4 linked regions of the Xenopus tropicalis genome follow. The main gene of each other region encodes a partner of the protein of the gene in region 2 in a complex. Links are inferred from orthologs where the notes say so. Each region holds a gene or a part of one and is shown on either strand. Other genes may lie near its edges.

Evidence for each region.
Region 1: the proteins of gnao1 (region 2) and c5ar1 are in contact, whole or in part, in a cryo-EM structure (PDB 8JZP), measured with the Homo sapiens proteins. The link is inferred for Xenopus tropicalis from reciprocal best matches to the Homo sapiens genes GNAO1 and C5AR1. Residues at the interface, in NP_066268.1 of Homo sapiens: Ala31, Lys32, Lys193, Asn194, Leu195, Glu318, Tyr320, Phe336, Thr340, Asp341, Ile343, Ile344, Ala345, Asn347, Leu348, Arg349, Gly350, Cys351, Gly352, Leu353, Tyr354; in NP_001727.2 of Homo sapiens: Asn71, Phe75, Arg134, Leu137, Val138, Pro141, Ile142, Gln145, Ile225, Thr229, Arg233, Ala234, Thr235, Arg236, Ser237, Lys239, Thr240, Val243, Val244, Ala303, Gln305, Phe307.
Region 3: the proteins of gnao1 (region 2) and c3ar1 are in contact, whole or in part, in a cryo-EM structure (PDB 8I95), measured with the Homo sapiens proteins. The link is inferred for Xenopus tropicalis from reciprocal best matches to the Homo sapiens genes GNAO1 and C3AR1. Residues at the interface, in NP_066268.1 of Homo sapiens: Ile28, Ala31, Lys32, Asp33, Val34, Asn194, Leu195, Ser264, Asn316, Glu318, Tyr320, Asp341, Ile342, Ile343, Ile344, Ala345, Asn347, Leu348, Arg349, Gly350, Cys351, Gly352, Leu353, Tyr354; in NP_001313404.1 of Homo sapiens: Asn57, Asp119, Arg120, Val123, Val124, Pro127, Ile128, Gln131, Asn132, Arg134, Asn135, Tyr356, Ile359, Arg362, Gly366, Arg367, Phe368, Ser371, Lys374, Thr375, Val378, Leu438.
Region 4: the proteins of gnao1 (region 2) and galr1 are in contact, whole or in part, in a cryo-EM structure (PDB 7XJJ), measured with the Homo sapiens proteins. The link is inferred for Xenopus tropicalis from reciprocal best matches to the Homo sapiens genes GNAO1 and GALR1. Residues at the interface, in NP_066268.1 of Homo sapiens: Ser264, Asn316, Glu318, Tyr320, Asp337, Asp341, Ile343, Ile344, Ala345, Asn347, Leu348, Arg349, Gly350, Cys351, Gly352, Leu353, Tyr354; in NP_001471.2 of Homo sapiens: Thr70, Arg133, Ala136, Ile137, Ser140, Arg141, His226, Leu227, Leu231, Asn233, Ser235, Lys236, Lys237, Ser238, Ala240, Ser241, Lys244, Thr245, Thr248, Leu306, Ser307, Glu308, Asn309.

Annotation. Positions count from the first base shown.
Region 1 is NC_030684.2:76,890,923-76,893,915, forward strand, and holds the end of c5ar1 (C5a anaphylatoxin chemotactic receptor 1), read right to left. Parts: coding exon 1,947-2,993; 3' UTR 517-1,946; downstream 1-516.
Region 2 is NC_030680.2:51,836,052-51,839,028, reverse strand, and holds the end of gnao1 (guanine nucleotide-binding protein G(o) subunit alpha), read left to right. Parts: intron 1-502; coding exon 503-690; 3' UTR 691-2,182; downstream 2,183-2,977. UniProt on the Homo sapiens protein: Guanine nucleotide-binding proteins (G proteins) function as transducers downstream of G protein-coupled receptors (GPCRs) in numerous signaling cascades.
Region 3 is NC_030683.2:9,128,673-9,131,803, forward strand, and holds the end of c3ar1 (C3a anaphylatoxin chemotactic receptor), read right to left. Parts: intron 2,864-3,131; coding exon 1,769-2,863; 3' UTR 728-1,768; downstream 1-727.
Region 4 is NC_030682.2:98,671,523-98,676,108, reverse strand, and holds the start of galr1 (galanin receptor type 1), read left to right. Parts: upstream 1-1,464; 5' UTR 1,465-1,577; coding exon 1,578-2,249; intron 2,250-4,586. UniProt on the Homo sapiens protein: Receptor for the hormone galanin. The activity of this receptor is mediated by G proteins that inhibit adenylate cyclase activity.

The sequences.
Region 1 (2,993 bases), on a different chromosome or scaffold from region 2:
TTTACTACCAATAGATTTGCCACATTAGTGCCACCTAGAACAATATATTTATTCTGCAGAAACCATTACCATACCTGAGTAAACAGCTTTAGAAGCTTTCTGCTTTTGCTTAAGATAGCAGCTGCCATATTAGGAAGCTTCCTTCCTGCAGTCTCTAGCTGTTATACCTGAGATCACACATTCCTAAAGAAGGGGGGGAGCAGGAGAGGGGAGGCAAGAGAGGAGAGAACTGTGCAGGCTCTGGCCCCGGGAATTAAGGCTGTTTCTGAGAGAGGAAGTCAGACACTGGAACATCATGTTTGCAAAAAAGAGACAAGAAATACTGTTTCTTTTGATAGAGGACTCAGTGCAGCATTACTGTGCTTATGGCTGTATTTACATAGACCTTTCTGATAAAGCTTACTTAGTTCTTACCTTTCCTTCTCCTTTAAGGAACAATTTATCAAAATTCAAATTTGCTGGGTTTTTTTCGAGAAAAACTGCAGCGAAAAATGCAAACAAGAATATGCTCAAGCATATTCTTAAGAACCACAAATAGTCTGTATTTTGTTCCTTTGATATTTTGTAAATTGGAATGTAAATACATCTGTTTGGTAAGTGGTTTTAGTGGGGAGGTAATACAATATTGTAGTTAGAAGGCAATGTAAGATCTCATTTTATTTTGCATAAAATCCATTTAAGCATTTAGTTAATTACACAGAAATGAAATTATCCCACCCCATACATTCATTAAATTGCATTACTATGGAATTAGCTGATTCATGATGGAGAACCATTGACCAGTTAGTCAGTGCCATAAGGACAATGTCTCGCAGACCTGATGCCAGTGAGCTGCTTCCCAATGGCAAGTGCTGCTGGTAACTTTGGGCCCAGAATCAAACTGCATCCCTGCATTTCCACAGCTTTCCACAGACTTCATGGCAAAATCTGAATAAATTACATGATTTTGTCATCCCATTATATTTTATATTTAGTTGTAAAGTATCCAAACACACAAGAGTTAAAATAAGTCACACAAATACTATTAGATATTTACCTTTTTTACATATATATATTATATATATATATATATATATAAAATGACTAAATTTACTTTTATATACAACTTGTCTCCAGAAACTTAGTGGGAAGCTCATTTAGGATATGATGTGGGGTGAATACATATTATGCTATTGCAGATATTGTTAGTATGGCCTATGTAGGGCCCAGGCCAATTTTGAACCTCAAGCTGAAAAAGTTTGCAATTCACTGACGTAAAGGATCTGAACCGTGTTCACTGTCTGATATTTATTGTTGTCCAGAACATTATGTAAAGTACAATACAGGGCCTGCCCACCCGAGCATCTCCAAAAGCAGAACAATATAAAATCAGTTCTCTCCCTTACAGTGTACAATATTGCAGATTTATTATGACACTGGAGAAGCTTTTCACTTTTGCTTTGGATTGTTTTAAAATTTAGGGCAAGTATGCAGCATCAGACCTGGCTGGGGAGTCACCAGGAGGACTGGGGTGGAGGTATAAATAATTTGCATCAGGTGCGGTGGGAGGGCCTGCGTCAAGTACAGGAGGGGTCCATGACAGCAGTAAGGGGGCCGCAAGGCTCTGGTGGTGGGGCCCTGAGATTGTACCAACCAGTGGGCCCAGGAAATCACAGTCCAACACTGCACATTTGACCCCCTTTCTCTTTTAATAGGAATCAACAGGCAATATACAGCAGGGTTCATTTCTAAGGGATCCAAACTTAAGCAGATTTTTTTTGTTGTATTTTTGCATGTTCAATACAGGACCTAACCTGTTTATGTTATACTTGAGTGACCCCAACAATAAAGGAAATATCTTTCCCACAGACAGAGAATAATCCACCACAGACACTAATCTGATTTCCTCCACACATCTCAAAAAGGATCTGATTTCAAGGTTTGGTTAATGTACTTGATTCTTTACACTACACACATGTATCAGTGTTTTTTGTCTCAGAACTTGATTTTGTCTTCTTGGAATCAAATGACTGACTTTCTTCTTCTGCCAGTACGTTCTTCACTACTGATCTAATGGATTTCCTAAATTTGGATTTCAGGTCTTGCCCTGCTAAAACATAAATTATAGGATTGATGCAACTGTTAATAATTGCAAAGCTAACCAAAATGGGGTCTATTTTCAATGTGTTCTGGTAAAGGTCTGAATTGGATGAATGAGTAGCTATTATAAGACCAGCTATATGGTAAGGGAACCAACAGACAAAGAAGCCAATTATCACTACAGTTACTACTTTCATTGTCTTACCAGATTTGTTATAGCGCTCACTGACTTTCCTAACTAAAACACCATAGCATACAGTGATAACTACAAAGGGAATAATGAAGCCTATTAAAAATCGGAAAATAGCAATAAATTGCTTGACCTTTTCTATATGATCTTTAGAAATATTGTAATGCATTACACAAACATGTTTTTCTACAATGTTTACAACTATTTGCCTAAAGACAAAAGATGGGCTGGTCAAAATAAGAGCCAACAGCCACACTATGGCACATGCCAAATATGCCTTTATCACAGTCCTTTTGTTCTGACACCAAACTGGTTTTGCAACCAGTAACCATCGGTCTATACTTATCACAGTCAGTAAAAGGACACTGGCATACATATTAATCAATAGTAGAGTAGGTATCAGTTTGCAGGTAGCGAGTCCCAATGGCCACTGACCCATGACAATCTCCATTATTGTAAAGGGTACAGAGAGGCAGCACAGTAGATCAGCAATGGCCAGATTCAGAAACCATACTGTGTTGACGGACCTTTTCATGTCACAGGTTGTTATCCACACCACCAAGGCATTGCCTGGCACGCCAAGGACCAACACTACGCTTAGGATAAACAATGCCGTGGTTTGAAATGAAGACAAAGAAGTTGGTTTTCCTTTGTTCAAAAAATCATCAAAATCAGAGTCCTCTGAGTCATACAGGGAGTTATTTGAAGAAGGTGTAGTTTCGAA
Region 2 (2,977 bases):
CTAGGGTTTCCCAGCATTAGTAGGCACAAAATTCACAACAGGAGGCAGGATGGATGCAGCAGTGCTATATGCAACAGTGTGACAGTGCTAAATGCAGTTTTGGACACACATACCTTTAATAAATGCCATAACATTGAGCAATTACATTTTTGTGTAACTGTGGTTGCAGTTGTGCCCCAGTATATTTATTGCAAATTCATGTGCACAGACAGGGAATATTTAAAGGCAAAATGAGTTTCCTGTACAAAAAAACAGCAGGGCCTCTGATATAGATCATTTTGAAAATGGAAAATTTGGAAAAAGATGTGCAAAGTGCATCTCCAGCAGCTGTAATGATCACTTCTCTAGTGCTGCTTTACCTCAAGGCTGGTACAGTAGCCAATCATTTGGTGCACTTGATCTTTTGTTAGTGGGGTTTTAGTTACCTTTAGATTTGCTTTTTTCATATTTATTGTCTCACATGTCCTCATTGTTTTTTATGCCTTTTTTGTCTGTTCATTAGGTCCTAACACCTATGAAGATGCTGCTGCTTATATCCAAGCACAATTTGAAAGCAAGAACCGCTCTCCCAATAAGGAGATTTATTGTCACATGACTTGCGCCACAGATACGAATAATATCCAGGTGGTATTCGATGCCGTCACTGACATCATCATTGCCAACAACCTCAGAGGCTGCGGCTTGTACTGATTTTCTCTGTATAGCAATTTATCTTCTGGCGATAAAAAAATGCAACTTGGTAAACAGAAGGCAAAACAAAAATAAACATTTATATATATATAAATATATATATATATATAACCAATCTTTTTAGTTTGTCTCAAAGAGCTGTCAACAGAATAGATTCCTGACAGCCCTTATCCAAAATAATCGAGTTTCCTCATTTTTAAGGATTCTCTGTAGGTCCCAATCTGCCTAACCCTTTCAGTGCTGGAACTTCTGCAACTCATGTAACCCATGACTGTTCTTTCCAGGACTGAAAGATAGTGTAGGACTTATTTGATAAAGGGAATATAATATATTTTAATCTTTTAAGATATGTGTGTTGCGATCAGTTTCACACAAACAGGACCCAAGCGAACCTTCAGGTTTATCTCTTCTGTTCAGCTCTTCGGTTAAAACAAAAAAAAAAAATTCCCCTCCAATTTCTTAACCAGGTAGAAGTGTTTGTGAGACTCGCAGGACAATGTGCTCAGCTTTTGTGGGTGCTGTTGCTGTAAGAGGGTCTGAGAGGGATTCTGGGAGGCCCAGCTAGTCTGAACAACACAATGTAGCGGGCCCCCGTTTTATGATAAAGGTATCAGTGCCAACCCAAACTGCAGAGCAGGGGGCACAGTCTACAGTTTTTAGGGGGTTTCATACCCCGCTGTCCCCTCCTACTCCGCACTACTTTACGGACCCTCAAATTGATGATCTGCAGGTAGCATGACCTTTGGCCTTTGTAAAAACACAGCCTTCCTTAAAGTTGATGTGTAATGTTATCACTGGATTAGTGGCTGCATAGGATGCTGTAAATCTGGTTTAGCTAAGTCTGTACATTTAGAAGAAACAAAACTGTTCTTTTTTTCCCACGTGCTTGTAGCTTAAAGACACCTCCCTTATTCTTATTCTTCTTATTATTCTTACTACCATTTTCTTGCACCAACTTGTAAAGAAGCATCTCCTTTATCCTTTCCAACCCCATCACTGCCAGAGAAGCCAACATGGCCTCCAGCAAAGAAATGGGTTTATATAAATCTGTTTTTTGGGGGGTTTGATTGGGGTTATTTCTGTTGGACTAGGTGGAATAAAATTATCATTTGAATGGAGAAAAAAAAGAATTTTCCAAGATATTTAATGTACAGATCTGATTTCTGATTGGATTCCCTTACTCTGAACTGTGTACCATGCACTCTTTGGATTTGTATAGAAAAAGCACAGCTCTCACTGACCTCCAGCTGCTGAAATAATTCCCCTCTTCAATTTTTGCTCTGAATTCTGTGTATTTCCAAACTGATAGGCTTCTTTACTTTCAATCTTGTTTTACTTTCCTAAGTGAATGCTTTGTGCTGCTTCTCTCCCGCCCCACCCCCCATCCTTTCCATCTTATAGTGAATGGTGTTTTCCTCTCATGTGGGATGTTTGTGCTGAGAAAAAAAACACAAAAAACATCAAAAAAGAAAAAAAAAAGAAAAAAACAAAACAAAAAAAACTAATTTAATCGAATGTAGTGTTTACATTAAATCCACAATTTTCATGACCAAACCTTTGCCATTTCTACTTTGATTAGAACTCAGACTTCTTCACCATTTCACTTGCGAATTGAAGAAGAGCGGTCACAAATGTTAAAGAAAAAAAATGAAAAATCAATCAATAAATGAGCGAGAAATGAAGCTGGAGTGTGTTCTTTGTATTGCCGAGCGCTCAGTTTGGTGCTGCCAGCGACTCTCGTAACTAATGGAAACTCGTGTGTAGCTTAATAAAGAGAATGTTTGTCTGTACTGAGCTGTCTCCAACATTCTGCTTTTTATCAACGTGCGTCACTGTACAAGGAGAATGAACCTGGCTCCCTTTGGGCACAATGAGGTGGCCCTTGTGTCGCTATTGTACAACTGCAGGCTGTAGGTGAAATTGTGCCTGCATCCAGGTTGGAAATCTGCTGCTGCTGCTGCTCTGCATCCTTAGCCCAGAGGCTTTCAGAATTTAGTTTTTAGGTCCCACTTTGCAGTCATTAGAACAGGACTCTCTCTTAGCCTATAATAAGGTTATGGATTCAAAAAAATATTGTCCCAGTTAGGGAACCTGAGTCCTGGCCAGATGGTTGTTCATTTGTGATATCGGAAAAGGCAGCCAGGGCCTCAGTATCAATTTAATATCAACAATTGAAAAGTCAGAATATAAAAAGCAGAAGAATTGCATAGAATGTCCCAATATTAAAAAAAATCTTTTGAGGGTCATTGTACTTATTACGCTTATAATAGTCTGATTAGTCTATCTT
Region 3 (3,131 bases), on a different chromosome or scaffold from region 2:
AACAAGTTAGTTATACTAGAAAATACTCAGAGGGAGGATGGGCCTGTATTGATCTGTCTCTTGTATTGCTCTGTATAGAGAGGAGTTTGTGAAAAATAGAGGCAGAAAACATTTTTGGCCCCAGACCTTAAGCCAGGACTGTCTGGAAGCCCAAGTTTTAGATGTGGCCCTCAGAGTAATGGCTATAGCCCCCAGCCTGGCCATTGGCTAGATAAACTTATTTCTATGACATAATCAGGGCTAAGAACATTTGGCATATTAAATATGCAGGCAGGGTGCTGTCTTCTCTAGGAAGTTTTCCTCCCAAAGTTTATCATTCTAACCAGGGGTTAGAAAAGGTCCAAAATGGAGCCTGTGCCAGATACAGTACAGTCAGTAAGCTTTGTTGTGGGATGGTTGAAAACAGTGGCATAACTATGGTTCTTTGGTCTCTAGTTACACCACTGGCTAAAAAAAATAAAAGTAATTTGAAATAAACAAAACTGTATCAGCTTCTGCTTACGAGGATGTGTATGTTGCCTTCATAACTAAACTGAGAATCAGAGTTAGAACATACCGGTCCCTGAATACCTGTGACCCCAATGCTCACTGACAGACTGTGGCTGTGACCAGAGTCACCAAAACACTGTAGCTCAGGGAAGGGCACTGTAGCACTAAAGAGCCGCCCGCTTCTTTAGGAACCCAGTTTTGTATTGTATCATCTTTAATGAGAAGCCAACAACAAATGTCTGATTTATGTTTTATTTTCCTCAACGTTTATCACATCAGCAATTTAATAATTGTTAAAATGTTAATCTTGTTATGAGGCAGTTTGTGCCAAGGTGCAAGGGTTTGAGTACTGCCTATTTACTTTATTTGGGAAGTTGTAAAACACTTATCTAAGCCTCTAGGACAGTGGTTGCTGGGCTGCTTTGGTTCAAGTTCTCACTGAGCTGATAAGGTTACAGATACAGGGAAACGTTTAGGGCAGTGGTACATGGGGAGATTAGTCGCGGGGCAATGCCATCCCACTGGCTAGAATGTAAATCTCTGGTGGGATGGCATATGCGCTGCTGCGACGTCCCACAGTCGCCCAAAGTTTCCTCTCAAGACAACTTTGGGCGAGATTGCGGGGAGATTAGTCACTTGCGACAACGAAGATTTGTCACGGGGCGACTAATCTCCCCGTGTACCACTTCCCCTAGGGTGAAGACACACTGGGCTACTAGTAGCTGCTACTTTTTCAAGGCTACTAAACTCCAGAAAATCCCTTGCCACAGACGATACTGCGAATTGCCTCTGCTAAAACACGTAGAGACAGTTATCAGTAAATGATCAACATTGTCTGTGTGTCTTCACCCTTACGCATTAGCAATTAGACCAAATACATATATGGGATGGCAAAAGTGTTCCCCCCCAGTACTCAGTAGAATAGACCTGGGCTGTCAGGGGTAGCAAAAATTTTCCCCAAATCTCACCCTAACTGGCCTTTAGGTAGAGCATACCTTCCTGGTCACTGACGTAGGCCCAACCGTTTGGGAATTGGTTGCTAGGTGTTTGCTGCAAAGAAAAAAAAAATACAAAATGCAGGAAAAATGCTTCATACTATATACAATATATACAATATAAAAGTGAGCCAGCCAATCACTTATCACTTGTATTAAGCTGAGCACAGGCCCATTCTCCTCTGGCATAAAGTGAACCCCACAGAGACTGGCAGAATGACAATATCCATGATTAATGTCATATACTGATTGTTGCTTTTAAAGTGTATGGTCTTTATATTGGCCTATAACATTGAGCTGTAACGGGCACTCTCTCTGCTCTTGCTGCCACCGGTAGTTCTTGTAATTTCCTCAGTAAGTGCACTCTGCAGCAGCCCCCGTATCGACTTGGACATCTTGCTCTTGAAGTCCTTACCCATAAAAACATAAATGATGGGATTGATGCAGCTGTTGCTGTAGGCCAATGCCTGGGACAAGTGGTCGAGACGCGTCAGGGTGGAACTACTGATGTACTCGAGAGCAATTCCGATAACGTGGTAGGGGGTCCACAGCATGCAAAAGGCCAGCACGATAGCAATAACCACCTTGCGTGTCTTTCGGCCTACGTTGGCAAAGCGTCCACTTTGTACCTTCCAGCTGAGTCGGATATAGCAGAAAAGGATAACGAGCAGAGGCAAGAAGAAGCCAAAGATCACTCGGGTTATAGTGATGGCAACGGAAGTTTCATGGCCTGAGGGTTCCACATCCGAATTATCATGAGCAAAATTATTATAAGTATAGTTGCCAAAATCATAATCCTCTTCTAAACCACTATATTCAAAATCTCCCTCCACTTGCTTGTAGGTGTAGCCGCAGTAGGTGTGGTTATTGTAATATGTGATTGTTCGGTACATGAACACGGGGAGGCACAACGTTAGGGACACGAGCCAGATGACCAAGCACAGGAGATAAGCCAGAGGCACGCTGCGGTGATTCTGGGCCCACACTGGCTTGACTACCAGAATATAGCGATCCACGCTTATGGCCACCAGAGTGAAGACGCTGGCAAACATGTTGAGGATAATGATGGAGGGTAACACCTTGCAGGAGATGGAATCGTTTGGCCAGGCGTTATGGAGGATCTCATGAGCCATCGAGAAAGGAAGAGACAAACAGCAGATAAGGTCGGCCACGGCAAGGTTACAAAACCAAACTGTATTCACTGTCCTCCTCATCTTGATACCCGTCACCCAGATAACAAGGATATTCCCAGGCACCCCCACAACGAAGGTAAGAGCCATAACTATTAGGGTCACCATTGACTCTGGGCTGTAGTGCTCCATCTGTGGGGTGCTACTGCCAACGTAGCTCCTATTCACTTCCGGTAACGTGCTGGATACCTGTAACGATATTCTGCGTCACTAAATGTGTCTAACACTAGCAAAGGGAAATGTTACATTATGGGCAGCACTGGGGGGTATTTTTGGGGTTCTGGGCCCTGTCCCTTACTGTAAATGATATTAGAGGTCACTGAGGGGTTCTGTCCCCATATAAAGGCACAAGGCTGCAGGCTGAGTTATACAGGGAACTCTGAGTATCACTCATGTATTATAAGGGATAATGTACCCCCTACTGTAAATGGTAAGGATATTAGCAGTCACTGAGGGG
Region 4 (4,586 bases), on a different chromosome or scaffold from region 2:
GAGCTTCCCTGAGGCTGCTGCAGGGCGAGGGCTTTCAGTTTAACAGTGTGGATCTCTGTGCAAAACATCTTTATGACACACAATAAGCAAAACCCTGACACCCAGACTCTAACCTAAGAACATGCAATTTAATGAAAGTGACATTACAGTGAGACCGTGACAGCAATGCTTCAGCAAAGGCAGATGTGACTACCAGGCTGTGGTTAGAGAAATCAAGTTAATAAGGCAACTGGCTGCTGCATTCTTTTCCTAGCCATGGACCACACTGCCTCTCCCTGTTAGCAGTCTGAAATGCAAGATATTACATTTCTGGAAGCTCATGTACAAGGAAAGACATTAAAGCAAATGCAAAGGGCATGTAATCCCCAAATACTATGTTGCCAAGTAAAAGAATTATGAAATTCTCAGCAACAGTGATGAGCAAACTTGCAGTGTAGTCATTTGGGAAACCATAGAAAAGTTTTAGACAAAGTGCATTGGAATAAATGGAAAGGCAAAATTAAATTGGAGTAAATGTATATTTCAGCTCTGCAGTAACCTATACACTATTAGATATGCTCTTTCCTCTATGCTACCACTGAAAAAATGACTAGAGGCAGATAATAATGATGTCTACATCAACAGATTGTATTTTCCCCAGTAAAACTGGGTCCATGGCAAAATTCTAGCAAGGATTCACAACAAAATGACTGATTTTGATGTAAAACTGTACTTCTCTTGGTAAGAACCACGAATGCAGAGAGTAGAAAGGGGCAAACAGACACTGCTTTCAATAGCTATTACAATTTCAGAAAACAATAAAATATGTTAATAAGGTGCTGACATTACATTATTTTGGGGTTTATATCCCCTTTAACTTTGGCAGCTATCCATACATATAGTTATTAGCTAATACAGATCAGGTACATCGCACACCTATAAACGTGGGGCTGGATAAATGAACAAGCAACAGCCCAGACTCCTGTTCTCCCCCCACAACTGGATTTCCAGCGAAACAAGAGTAAAAGGCAACGTTCCATTAAATGGCCAAATCCGTCTGCAAATTGATGGTATAATCGTGGGCTGCTGCGAGGAAATGAAGCATGTTGGCAGTCGTACATGACACCGCTGGAAATCGCCGGTGCCTGCATCTATTGCAAAGTAGACTGCGACTGATTGGACAGAGGGAGTTGCAGGGCACGGCACATAAAATCGCAAGTAGTTTCGCTGCGCGTTCAACAGGCGTCAGGCAGGGAGAAAGAAAGAGGTGCTTAACTGAGGGCATTGCAGAGAGGGGCAAGCACACACACACACATATACACACACACACACATATACACTCACACACACACACAAGCTAAGCACACTCCTCCTCTCCCTCCTCTATTCCAGCTCATGGACAGTCGCAACAAACTTCATACCGTGTGTGCTGCCCCTACACGCTGCCACTTGTTAGCTTCCCGCTGCGGCTGCCACCTGCCTCCCCACAACCGGACCGGGCAACGTTACGCACGGCAGCTCCACTAGCGCACAATTACGCGCAGTTAGTTTAAAGCGATACAAACACTTATTGTCTAGTGGGCACAAGATAAGAGAAGATGGATCAAGACACAGATGTCCGGAACGATAGCGAAGGGTTTGAGCTGGACCCAAATAGTTCAGAAGTGCCATCAGCTGTAAAGCCACTTCTCGGAATTGGCATTGACAATGTTATCACTCTGGTTGTGTTCGGGATGATATTCGCTCTAGGGGTGCTGGGTAATTCCTTGGTTATAACGGTGCTGGCTAGAAACAAACCCGGGAAGCCCCGCAGTACCACCAACATCTTCATCCTGAACTTGAGTATCGCAGACCTGGCTTATCTGCTCTTCTGTATCCCTTTCCAATCCACTGTCTATGTCCTGCCAACCTGGGTGCTGGGAGCCTTCATCTGCAAGTTCATTCATTACTTCTTCACCGTGTCCATGCTGGTCAGCATCTTCACACTGTCTGCCATGTCGGTGGATAGATACGTGGCCATAGTTCACTCCAGGAGGTCATCTGCTATCAGGGTGTCTAGAAATGCCCTGGTGGGAGTAATTGTCATCTGGATCCTCTCCATTGCCATGGCTTCTCCAGTTGCTTACAACCAGGGTTTGGTTTATAAGAACAACCAGACTTTCTGTTGGGAATCGTGGCCAAATGCCCAGCAGAAAAGGATCTATGTGGTGTGCACCTTTGTCTTTGGATACCTGCTGCCTCTTCTTCTTATTTCCTTTTGCTATGCCAAGGTAAGGTATTATCTCACTGCTTCATTTACATGGTGGGACCACCTGGGTATGTGGCTCTCCTTACTCACAACCACTGGCAGCATTTGCTTCTGCCACACTAGTAAGAGATTCAGCAGTTCTAAATAATAGTTATTACCATATATCTCCTGATGTAGTTAGTATGCTTGGGTACAATACACTGTACTTTGTATTGTATCTCTTTGAGTATAATGATACATATTACTATTAGGTGATCCTACATATAATGTGCTGTCATTTATAATGGATATCCTAATATATTCTTTATTGGCCCTTGGTATAATACACTATAATTGTATTTGTATCCTAGAATATAATGGCCCAGAATTACTATTGGCTTTTCTTGGGTGTAATTCACTATATTGAATTTGATATATTAGGATTCATTGACAATAGTTGCTATTGGCTGTAACTGGATATAATGCACTGTAATTTGTATTTAGCATCTTCGGATATAAAGGTACATAGTTGCTATTGGTCGTCCTTGGGTATACTGCATTAATATCTGTATTGGATGCCACCAAATTTGTCCAGGTCCAGTAACTCATAGCAACTTGCTTTTAAACAAGTGTTATGTAAATGTTACCTGCTGATTGGTTGACCTGTAGAAAACTTTGCTCCTTTTTTTACATAATGCATTGTCTATGAATTTTATATAGCAAAGTTAGAACAGGTATTGGCTGCCTCTGGGAGCAACATTTAACAATTACTGTTGGCACTCTAAAGGTGGCTATACATGGACAGATTTAAGCCGCCGATTAGAGGCCTTTAAACTGATTCGCCACCATATCTGCCTGTGTATGGGCCCCAATGAGCTCCCTTGACCGATATGTGCCTGAAAATTTGGCAGGTGTCGATCGGCAGGTTTGATTTTCCCATTGGGTCGGGGTCAGCTTCAGCTAATTGATGCAGTTCTCCCTCAGAAGGCTCCTAAACCTGTCATTGTAATTCTGTTGTTTGGCCCTAGTGCAAAACAATTCAATAAGCCCCATATCGTCCACCTTAGGTAGGCATATATGGAGAAAGATGCACTCGTTTGGCCACCTCACCAAACGTGTATGGCCACTTTAAGTACAGTGGTCCATAATTACTTTTAATAGAGATGATAGTAATATCCTTGGATAATAGTCCATAGAGGGTCCTGTGTTCTATAATGTTATGTTACAACTTTATAATTCAAATTAAATGATAATTTCTTAATACACCAGTCTCCATATTTTGAGTCTGTAGTTATTACTGGCACTTATTATTATTATTGACTATCTCAGAATTATCAGTCCATATATATAGTTATTTCTGTGTATTGATAATTCTGTAGTTAGTAATGCCTGTCTGGAGATAATAAGGTCCGTTGTTAGTATTTGCTGTCTCAGGACATATTATTTCATGGTCAGTAATGGAAACCATTTGATAGAATACTCTGTAGTTAGTATTCAGTATCTTTGTAGAAGATAAATAAGTAATTAGTATTGATTCTATACTGATACTGGTAATTCAGCAGTTAGTATTGGCTCTATCTGGATAAAATAGTCCAAATCTGGTTCTGCTGTAGCTGTACTTTGGGTGTATGGTATCAGTCCATAATTGGTCTCTAGTTAAAAATTATAGGTGGCAACATCATTGTAAAAATATGTAACTGTAAATTGTCAGGATATGTATTTAATAAATATATGCTGATCTGTTGCTCAGTGTTTCCAAATTTTGCTTTTGTCTTCCGGCTGTGCCTCTTACCTATTTGCACTTGTTTTATGCTGTGTATTTATCAGTTCATGGCTTAGAATTGCCAGCCTTCAGCAATAAAACACAAGCAACAATTTAATGGATGCACAGTCCCATCCTTATCTCACCAGACAATGGCTCTGTTCATGATATATGGCATTTCTCTACATCCCAAACAAATAATGACGGGAGACCTTACAAAATAAGATACAAGTTAACATCCATCAGTTATAGGCGCAGGTTCTGTTTCTCGGAAGAGCTGACAAGGTCAGTGTGGTGCAGGCTTCTTCTTGGCTACTTTCTTTCATTTGATGAATCATCTAATAGTTTGATGAATGTTTTTTTCTCCTAGGACTGAATAGAGAACAATTTCAGTATAGGCGTTAGAGCCCATGACACAACACTGGCCTTATTATAAGATGAAGTTTCCTATTAACTAAGTAAAAGGAATCCTGTAGCTTTATGTTTTGTTTTTTTTACTTAACCTGCAGATAAGGACACACACTCAGTGCAGACCGGTGCATTTACATCTGCCATGCTATTCTCTAATGATCCCTCATGGAGTACAAGTGTAAATGAATATACTGATTCTTGCTTAGT